Caenorhabditis elegans: one gene and its partner. The protein of the gene in region 2 interacts with the protein of the main gene of each other region in a pairwise test. Each region holds a gene or a part of one and is shown on either strand. Other genes may lie near its edges. The genes, in order: F23A7.3 and nhr-1.

Region 1 (6,211 bases), 1.3 Mb from region 2:
TTTAAAATACAGTTCGGAAAATTGACTTTGCATAAAAGAAAGTCACTACCCGTTTTGTTCAATCTTTTTGGGTCAGAGCGCTTGATGAACGACTTGTATACATCAACCGGTTCCTTATCAATACCTTCAGTTATGTTATTGCTTCACAAAATCTACTGCAAGTAGTTTTTGTGGGAAATTGGTCTGAGCTTCATACGTCACTATTCCCGTTGCTCTTTTTTTGCACCGCTAAAGCACATGTCTGCGTCTCTCACATGTCACATGTTTCTGAAGTCTGAGCGAGCGTCTGTGCCTCTCACTGAACACTATCTTTTTTGAGAAGCAGCGTAATGAAAAAAAATTCAATAGCTGCTGCATATCAGTGAGTGTGTCAGCTAATAGGGCTTCACGCGTTATTTCATCTTTTCATAAAAAGTTTCCCAGTGACTTCGCGGGATATGTTTAATTTTTTGAATGTTTTCCTCCTTTATTAATTCAGTGAAAAGCTCAGTTAATTTAAGCCACATTGTGTCATGCTGTCCCATTACGGTTTTATCTACAAAAATTGCGGGAATTTTTCTCCAAAAAAATGTGACGTCGGTACGTTCTTAACCATGCGAAATCAGTGGAGAAGTCTGCTTATAAATTCTGCCTTCCAATTCTCGTAGATTTACGTAGTTCAAACCAAAATGGGACACTCTGACCCTACGTGCTACGTTGTTAAATGCAACCTCGTTTGACGACTAATTGCGTATATATACAGTGCTGGCCAAAAAGATATCCACTTTCAGTTTTTTGACAATTTCGATATTTTTTCCAATGGGCATAACTTCAAAACTAGGAAAGGTATCAAAAAATTTTCAACTGGTAAAATGTAGCTCGTGATCAGGCCTATGTATTTTTACATGTTGCAATTATTCATCCATCACATGGCAAGTAATAAAGCGGCGGGCATCTCGTGAGTCCGTTTTTGACGATGATTACTAAAACGACTGTAACTCAAGAAACATATTTTTAATGAAAGGTTTGAGAAAGTAACAAAATGTTTATTTAATTTTTCATTGTTTGAACATATCAACTTTGTCCTAAAACCTCCATTTAAAAAAATGTGTGCGCTGAAACTAGTGTCTCATTAGACACTGTTTAGAGGCTTTGTTCAAAAATCAGGTTTCTTGGATTGAAAATCTTTTTCCGACAATTTTTGTGAAGAACTGATGTTGTTATTATATTTGAACTACATATTAACCAATAAACAGAATTCAGAAAAAAAAATCTACTATTTTTGAGAAATGAGCTCGATATTACTCTACACTTCTCTTCTTTAAACTCTCTTGTCTTTTTCAATGGAGGTTTCAGGACGAAGTTAGTATGTTCAAACAATAAAAAATTATATAAACATCGTGTTACTTTCTAAAAACCTTCCATTAAAAATATGTTTCTCGAGTTACAGTCGTTTTAGTAATCATCATCAAAAGCGGACTCACGAGATGTCGGCCGCTTTATCACTTGCCATGTTTTGGGTGAATAATTTAATCATGTAAAAATACATAGGCCTGATCACGAGCTACATTTTACCAGTTGAAACTTTTTTGATAGCTTTCCTAGTTTTGGAGTTATGCTCAATGGAAAAAATATCGAAATCATCAAAAAACAGAAAGTGGATATCTTTTTGGCCAGCACTTTATATATATATATATATATATATATATATATATATATATGTATATAATTTATTATGGGATACAATACTAAATGAAAAGTACGTTATATACATAAATACGTAATATTTTTAATTCAGCAAAAAATGGTACGAATCATTTGCAAAAGAAAAACGGCCGAGGACAAGCCAAACGCATTTGAATTCAAAAAAGTCAACAAAGGTCTAACTTCTCCCAGTGATGGCCCTTTTGTCATAGCACATTTTCCTAAAAACATGATTTGGGAAATTGACCAAGAGGTAATTTTTTTAAAGAGGATTAGCGCCAGTGGGGAAATTGCTTCAAAACATGCCTATGGTACCACAATGACCAAATATCACAGTTAAAAATTTGAAATATTTTTTCTAAATTTTATATTATTTTTCGAAAATCAACAAAAAAAACCCAAATTGCATCAAATCCCCATTTGAATTACCGCCAATAGTTCGATGCTCGATAGAGCGCGCTTGCCATTTTATTAAATTTTTTATTCATCAATTTCTCTCATTTTTGACTGATTTTTCATGTTTTTTCTAGAAATTTTACTGGAAATAAATTGAAAAATTCAAGATAATTGTAATTTTTTTCATTAAAAAGCGGGCGCTAAAGCCTAAACCTGTGAAATAGATTTGTTCAGGCTAAACGTCGTTGAAAAACGTTCTTTCTTTGTTTTCAGTTATTTTCAGTGGACAATCTACATTTATCTTGAATTTTTCATTGAATTTCTAGTAAAATCACACAAAAAAACATGAAAAATAAGTCAAAAATGAGAGAAATTGATGAATAAAAATTAAAAAAGGCAAGCGCGCTCCATCGAACATCGAACTATTGGAGGTAAATCAAATGGGAATTTGATGCAATTCGAGATTTGTTCATTTTTCAAACAATCATATAAAATTTAGAAAATTTTTAAAAATTTTTTTACTATGATTTTTGGTCATGGTCTTTGTGGTACCATAAGCATCTTTTAAAGCAATTTTTCCAATGGCGCTACTCCATCTTTAATTATCAAGAACTGGTCGGGTTCAGTAATCAAAATTGACCCACTATCTTTCAAAACAAATTAAAAATTTTCAGACATCAAACGAAAAGTACATTGCGTATTTCCCAACAATAGTTTCTTCGCCCGATACAAAGCGACTGATGGAAAATGATCAGCTGAAAATGTTGTATGAGAAACTTCGCGATCACAAATCCGGCCCACTGAAAACACAGGTTTTTTTGCTTTTTTTTTTTTGAAATGAATTTTTCTCATTTTCGGAATTATTTTGTCAATTTTCTCTGGAGCTGGAAAATCCGACGTCGTCGGTTTTTACAAATTTTAAATTTTTCCGATGTGTAGGTTTTCACGTCGCCCGACATTTTGCGAGTTTGGTTACTCATTATAAAATTGAATAGAGCTTATGAGTATAGTGAGTGGCTAAACTCGGAAATTGTCGGCAGACTTGAAACTCTTCTTATTGGTATATTTTCAAAATTTTGAAAACCGGACACCGTACGTCCGGTCCGGACGTTGTACGTTCAGATTTGCGACCCCTAAATTTTTCATTGAAAATATACAAAAAATATAAAAATTCCTTTTTCGTGGAAAAGTGTGACCCAAAAGCGTAAAAAAGAAACCAAGATAGAAGCAGAGCCAATTTTTCAAAATAATTATACTTTTTCATGAATTGGAAATAATCATAATAAAACGAATCTTTTAGATAGATTAAACTAGAAATAGTCGAATTTGAAATTTTAACAGTGCATTCTCACACTACTTCCGAGGGCTTTAAAATTGCTCCAAAAGTAAACTTTATCAAATTTTAAAGAAAAAAACGGGAATTCCAACAATAAATTAATTATGTATGTTTTCAGATCGATGGGACAAATTTTGTGGCAGTTGAACAAGATGCTGAGCCACACCAGGTTAGATATTTGTTTCTTTCTCGATTTGTTTGAAATTTTAATGCTTATGTAGATCGAATCGATTCAATTGCTACCAAATGGCAATCTGAAATTATATTGGCCTGTTATATGTAGAGATGAACTGGAAGAAGACACAAACAAAGAATTTAATGAAATGAAAAAAGACCTTTACGAGACAAAACGCGAATTAACAGAAGTTCGAATATCACTGATGAATTTGGAAGCGGAACACAGAACACTCCAAACTAACTGTAACAGAAAGGATACCCAACTTTTCGAACGCCACGAGGAAATCCAGCAACTCAAAGACCACATTCAATGGAAGTCAAAAGATACTGAGGTGGCTGCCAAAATGGTTTTCCAGATGCAGAACAAGCATAAGGAGGAAGTTGAAAAGTACACTTCAACGATCTCGAAGTTGAAAGAGGAAGTTGTAGCCAAGGACAAAGAAATTGTTGAGAACAAAACTGCTAATGATAATATGGTATCTGCACTTTTGGGTTTGATAAACAAGCAACGAAGAGTTGGGACCTAGATTGCATTGGTGAGTTTTTTTCAGGTTTTTTAATTAACATGGGTATGTACGTGGCCAAAAATATATGCATTTAAAGGTGGAGTAGCGCCAGGGAGCATTTTGTCTAAATACATTTTTAATAATTCGAAACAACCGAATATTATAATAAAACACTTCAAAAAGTTTTTTCGGCAGTGTACCTGACTTCCAGATCCGCAGTACATTGAAGAACGGATCGTCTTTTAATCCTTTTAATTTTTAAACAATCGAAGTTTTGGCAAATTGCCAAATTTTTTAAACGAATGAGATTCCTAGATTGTCTTAAAATAAATGACAAGAGAGGGTAAAGCCGTACAGATAGCTGATAAAGTTATTGTTAGCAAAATTTGATAAGTGGGTTGTGAGAAACATGTCTAGAAAATTTCGTAACGAAAACTCACCCGGTTGCTCAGAAAAGAGCTCAGAAGCCTTCTGGAAACAAACAATAGGGAAAAGCCAAGTACAAATTCATCTTTAAAATGGCTCAAAAAAGTGCGAAATGTAGGAAAATGCACCAGAATGTGAAATGATGTGTAATTTACCAGATTTGGAAGTTTGGTGAGCATTGGAAATGCAGTAGCTTCAAAACGGGCTTCAAGGTACTAAAATGTGAAAATTGGAAGGATTCCTGTTTCATCTTTATTCGATGATATGAAAACCAAAAAATATACTGGCAAAACATGTGATTGAATGTTATTCAACGTGACACTTTTCGAAAAATCGAACTTTTCGTGAAAAATTCTGAAAATCTGAGGGAGCCCCATAGCAGTTGGGCGGTCAATTTTTCAACTTTTTGCTCTTTTGCTCTCAATTGTTGAGCAATCAGAACGAAACTGTAGGTACATAGGTTTTTTGATATGCTGAATCCAATTCCCGCATTAGTTTTCCCCGAAAAAGTTCGAAAATATCCGAAATCCCTAAAGTTAGGGGTGTCCCAGTTGGACGCACTATATGTGCGCTATAATATATGTGTAGACGTATACCATTTTGCAATGTTTCAGACGGATGCACGTGTTTCCTGCGTATTCAATCAACAAAACCAATCACACAAAAATGCAAAAATTTCTGGCATTCAACTTTCAAACCGTCTTCTTCCATTCCCTGAACATGTTCCTCGCCCATTTTATTTTTATTCACAACTCTCTTGCTGGATAGGTCCGAACGTCGTCTAATGTTATTAACTTTTGTATTAGAACATGTCACTGCAACTTTTTTCGAACGAGGGCTGAGAAAAAATGCGAAAAATCGGTGTTTGCACACAATACACCGCATTTTACGACATTTTCTACTTGCTTTCTTTTCTTGTGTTTTTTACCGATTTTTCTTGTGTTTTCTTATTAAAACTGATAAATACATATTTTTTGTTAATGCTAAAATAATTTCCAGATGAAAAATTGTGAATTCAGCCGGCAAGTAGCGGTGAAAGTGGTCAATGTAATATGATGGATTACGGGAATACAAAACCCAAACTTTTCCCCAAACATGATACATATGATGTTTAGATGCTAAAAGTACCTGATTTTCATAATGAGACCGCTGAAAAAGTTTTGAGATTTTCAAAATTCAACTTTTTTGGTAAAAAAGTCGAGATTTTGGCACAAAATGTTGAATTTTGATAATCTAAAAACTCTTTTAGCTGTCTCGTTATGAAAATCAGGTACTATCAGCATCTTAAAAGCATATATATTATGTTTCAGAAAAAGTTTGGGTTTTGTATTCCCGTAATCCATCATATTACATTGCCCACTTTCACTGCTACTTGCCGACTGAATTCACAATTTTTTCACTTGGAAATTGTTTTAGCATCTGCAAAAAATATTTATTTATTTGTTTTGATAAGAAAAAACGGAAAAAATCGGTGAAAAATGAAAGAAAACACGCAGAAAACAAAGCACGATAAATGGCCGCTGAAATTTGTCGGGGACTCGCCATGGCCTAGAAACCTTTTTGCCTCGTCCCTCGTTCGAAAAAAGTTGCAGTGCATGTGCAACCATTCTTTTCTAGCTCTCTGATTGAAAATAAATTGTTCAAAATACATTGATTTTCTCAGCATATTTATTTTGAAATTAATATG
Region 2 (4,993 bases):
TTTTCTCACTTAATGAAATCATAATTTTCATATATTTTCCCAGTATTTTTAACAAATGATTTCAGATTTTCAAATCTCGATTTTCAGCTAGCAAAACCGACTGATCACTCAAATTGAAGCCTTTCAAAAGGGTGTTTTTCATTTGAGAAGAGAAAATAAGCAAAAGTTCCAATAAAGTGTCTATAAATTCGTGAATTCGTGAATCCGCGGCTTAACTCAAACCACAGAGCCACACCAGAGATCAACTTCACGTGTTTTGGTGTGATTTTCCCGCCGGAAAAATAACCCCAGAGGTCAAAGCTCTAATTATCACGCTTCTTGTTTTGGTGTCGGTATCTTTAATTTGCAATCCCCTGGCTGCTCCGTAGGATGTCATCAAACGGGTTATTGTATATTCAGGAGCTCTTCACTTACCTTTTGCGTCCATCCCCACCAATAGGCATTTGTTGAAGCGGCAGTGACGGCATGCACATCGAATGTCTGCAAGTAGTTTTTTTTTAGTTGAAAAATGCTTTCAAAATAAGCAAAAGTACATGATCAGACACCACCGGACAATTTGCGATTTCCGAGAAAATCTAGAGTAAAACTCACTTTTATTAACATCACAATTTCCATTATATTGGCAAATGAAGGTTTGCTCACTGACTATTGTTCGTCGGAAGAAGGTTTTGCTGAAAACAGATTTTTAGGTTTGAAGTGAGGAGATGATTTGAAAACTGTCACAAAATTTTGTGAAAAATATATTCAGCGGAAACTTATGATAAACTTGCTTTCAAATGTTCAAAAGTGTTTCCTGAGGTTTCATTTTAATCAAACCTTAAAGTTTATTCGATTTTTTATATTTATTTGAAATACATTTTATTAGCTTTCGAAAAAAGTTATTACCTTCCTCAAACCGATGTCACAAAAAAAAATTGTGTACCGATTAAAATTATTTTAGCCAGCTTTTTCGAAAAGTTTTTAAATTTTCATTTTGCAAAAGTATACTTTTTAAAGGCTAAACATTTGAACAAAGATTAGACTTACAAATCACCATTTTTGGCTTAAAACTAAAAAACTTAAACTATTTTTAACATGAAATACGGCTACTAGTTAAGTACCCTATGTTTTTTGAGTTTTGAAATAGTAATTGACAATTTTTTTTAAAGAAAATCGCAACCAAAATTTCAACAGTAACATTGTTCTGGGGAACACCATCTAGTTCTTTGGTCTTGAAATATTGAATTACTCAATTATTCTAATGTCTCTAATGTAATCTCTCTCTCTAAAATCCAATCAAATTATCAAAATGAGTGAGAAAATCTTGGTACCCTTATGTTGGAAGAGAACATAGACCATCATTAATTTCCTCAGAGCGAAAGAATTGGGGAGGAAAAAAATGTTTCGTGGATTTTTCCCCATCTTTCTAAATTGCCTCGTGCAGCTACTGCTGCCACTATTGCTCTATGTGCTCTCGAAAGCGTGACGCGATTTTCTACTTGATCGCTTTTTTCGCTTTTCTCCCCTTATTCAAAGGGTCTTCTACTTTTACTATTGGCCGAGATGAAAAAAAGAAAAGAGAAAAAATTGAAGACAAGGTGAACTTGGCATGTGTGGTTTTGACAAGAGCAAGCAAACCAGAGAACCAAACCAAAAAAGGAGCCCCTCCATATTCACATAGTCTATTGAGTTCATTGTTTGCTTGTTGGTCACTGAGTGAGGACTAGAAATTTTGGAAGAAGGCAAAACCTAAAGACCAACAAGACACAAAAAGGCCAAGTTTTAAAGGGCCCCTCCTAAGCATTATCACATTTCACTCAGTTTTACCCGTCTCGCTTCAGGCAGCGGAGAGGGGAGGAAACGGATAGCGGAGTGAAGCAAAGAACACGATTGTCCCCAGAGAGCTCAGTGAGCTCCAGCTTCCTAGTCTCATTTGGTGGGGGTCGAGTGTAAAAGTCCAACGTCATTTTATCTTTTCTGGCAACAACAAAAAAACAGCCACGTACCATCCATTGCAGCTAGCCACTCCGTAGTGATATCCAGTGGCAAGGTCCGAGCAAACTGCGCACAGCTCTCCTTCGGGCACTTTCCTTCCTAAAAAAAGTGAAATTTAATATTGTTGGGGGGTTAAGCGTGTTTAAAGAAACTTTTTGAACTGTCTAGGTGGAGAAATCGTAAAGCTTCAAGGTTCGGGAATTTTTAGAGGATTATTGGAAATTTAAAAATTTTTATAAAGTACATTTAAAAAGTGTTATTAGAAATTTTGCAAAAACTATAAATTTTATGGAAAAACCAATTCAACAATGTTGTGTTTTCTTGCAAATTTAAAAAATTTCAGTTCACACTAAACTGACAACACTGTCTCCTCAGTTTATTTCAAATAGATTTGTTTTAAAATTGAATTTACAATTCAACTGAGAAATCACATAGTATTTAAAATGCGGGAATACACAAGTACATCCAACCAATATGATCTTCACAAAAAAATATTTTGAAAAACTGAGCTGCCGAATAGCAAAAAAATGTTGTCAATGTACGCTAGTTCACCTAAATGCTTTGTTTTTCTCATTTCATATTTTCAATTTTGTAAATTCATAAAACCTATTCAGCATCAAAACAAAATTATTTTGAAGAAAGAAACCACTGGGAAAGAGCATGATAATTTACTAAATTTTCCAACTTTCCGAGTAATAAAACGGATAAAACTTACGTTGAGCCATTCGCTTATAAGACGGAAATTTTTGATCATTGCCCATCGAGGATGAGCCGTTGGTGTGGGAAACGGAGGCGGCTGATCCATTCATATACATTGACGGATCCTCGTTGCGTTGCGAGTTGACCATTGGCTGCCCGTAGTTGGCCAGATGGCTTTGCAGTTGATCGGCCAGTGTACCGTTCATACTATAAAACACGTGCATTGGTGGTTCGCCGCGGTGTCCCGAAGAACTGTAGGGGGAAGACGACGGAGCAAAGCACACGTCGTCTTCGGTCGCCAGTCGTTGGTGTTGCGCGAGAATATTTAGTTTCCTTAGTGAGCACACCACCGCCACGTCGTCTCAAGTAGACTACGACAACGAAGGGTGAGCACGATCAAAGAAAAAAAATGAAAGGAGCAGTGAGCGAAGAAAACTGGGAGAAGAAGCTCGGCGAGCTGGAGAGAGCAAAGAAAGAAGAAGAGTGGTGAACTGGGCGGAGCTTGTGGGCGACAACGCCAGGGCCCCCACGAGAGAAAGGGGGCCGTGAAGGGAAGAAAAATGCAATGGGAAAAAAGAAGAAGAAAAAAGAAACGACGAAAAAAAACACGAGGGACCAACGAAGGAGAAGCTCAAAAAATGAGAGGACTGCAAAGGGAAAGGAGACGAATTTTTCCATTTCCTTTTCAACTCAACCATAAGCCTATCTGCTCCATCTTCCAAAATTTCATTCCATTTGGAATTGCTCAATTTGAAACAAGAAAAAAAAATATTGAACAGGTTGATGGATCAAGATGCTTCCAATCGAATTGTTGTGCAAAGTCAGGGGAGGCTTGTAACTTGAATTATGCTTTCTGATATCTGATCAGAGATCGAATTAACTAGAGTCTTTGAATTCCAAGGTCATTTCCGGAGAAACAGAAAACATGTTTTTTTCTTGTGGAGACGATAGAGACCTTTAAATGTTTCTAATCCAGTTAATCAGCCAAAAATTGAAAAAGAGCAGAACCTATATAGTTTCGAGATCTTAAATAGTCTGAAAATAAGATCTATACTTTAAAAAGTTAAATTAACAGAACCATCATGATTTTGAACACTGAAAATTAAAAAAAAATCTCAAAAAGTCGCTGAAAAGGATATCATTTTATCTAGAAAATTAAAAAAACGCCAAGATAGAGGTTGAGCAAAAAAATGCAAGGAACTTTTAGTTGTGGCAATTTTGAATCTAAGTTTCAACTGGCTCAGTGACCTAGGTTATTTTTAGTTTCAAAAATCGTAGTCAAAATAGGACAATAGTCAGGAATGTTGAACGAAGTTTTTTTTAGATTTTTAATGTTCCGTTAATTCCCATCCTTATCTACTTCCTCTGGAAATAGAGTCCAATCCTTTTTTCTGTTGTTTTGTCAAGGTTTTCTTTTTCCGCAAGAAAAAACAGCCAACGTTCTTCCTAATCTGACACCTTTTTCATACCACCAAAATCCGTGGTGTTGGCAGAAGTTTTTTGGATTTTGAAGAAGTAAGCTAATACTCTCAAGGATTATACGATCACTCAGAATATATATATCAATTATAGTTAAGAGCAAGGCACCAACCAACGACTAAAAGCGCAAAAGGCAAAACCCCAAATCTAATCCAATCCATCAAAACTTGATGTGAATGAAAAAAAAAGAGCATGCCTACAAAAAAAAACTCACATTCGGCGAGCGGCGGAGGCTCGTTAATTCGGAATTCGGTTGACGTTGTGTGCTATGTATGAGAAGTATGTGCGGAGGATACTTTCTGAAAAAAAAAAACGAGAAGATATCGGATATGTACACGACGGTGTTTGAGTAGTCGAGTTTCGAGAACGAGGTGCATATGTGTGTATGTGTGTTACAAAGATCGAGAGATGAGCAAAAGAGCAAGAAGATGGAGCAAAAGTTCTTTTTGGAATGACCAATAAGTTGAAGGTTTTGAAAATTATAGTTTAAAAAAAGCTTTAGAAATAGATATTCGAGAAAAAAAAGAAACCATGAGTCACATTTACCATAATATTTTCTTGAACTTTTATACCAGACAGTGTAGACTTTCAACTGTGCGATCAATCAGTCCATACTCTTTTGATTTCGAAACACGTAGATCAGACCATCGTCGTAAAGTTGTGTGTGTTATTTGTCATAAAAATATCTGTCAGCTGATGAAAGGGAAGAGACTAAATTTGAGAAACTTGTCAAAAATTATGAATAATGGTAGAGTCAACGTCACAAAATTGATCAGGCAAGAGAGGAAAAAGGGGGTGGCACAAAAATAGAAACAAGAGCGTGTTTTCGATATGATCAGAG

What was found.
Region 1: the proteins of nhr-1 (region 2) and F23A7.3 interact in a two-hybrid assay, tested with the Caenorhabditis elegans proteins (one large-scale study listed by BioGRID).

What each region holds. Positions count from the first base shown.
Region 1 is NC_003284.9:16,218,233-16,224,443, forward strand, and holds F23A7.3 (Crinkler (CRN) family protein), read left to right. Parts: upstream 1-1,777; 5' UTR 1,778-1,783; coding exon 1,784-1,936; intron 1,937-2,753; coding exon 2,754-2,891; intron 2,892-3,533; coding exon 3,534-3,584; intron 3,585-3,636; coding exon 3,637-4,119; 3' UTR 4,120-4,128; intron 4,129-5,138; 3' UTR 5,139-5,496; downstream 5,497-6,211.
Region 2 is NC_003284.9:17,517,903-17,522,895, reverse strand, and holds the start of nhr-1 (Nuclear hormone receptor family member nhr-1), read right to left. Parts: upstream 3,162-4,993; 5' UTR 2,880-3,161; coding exon 2,690-2,879; intron 2,074-2,689; coding exon 1,986-2,073; intron 1,914-1,985; exon of another isoform or gene 1,705-1,913; intron 672-1,704; coding exon 592-671; intron 481-591; coding exon 415-480; intron 1-414. UniProt on the Caenorhabditis elegans protein: Orphan nuclear receptor which acts in concert with the insulin/IGF-1-like signaling (IIS) pathway during osmotic stress, perhaps in response to a ligand modified by the sulfotransferase ssu-1.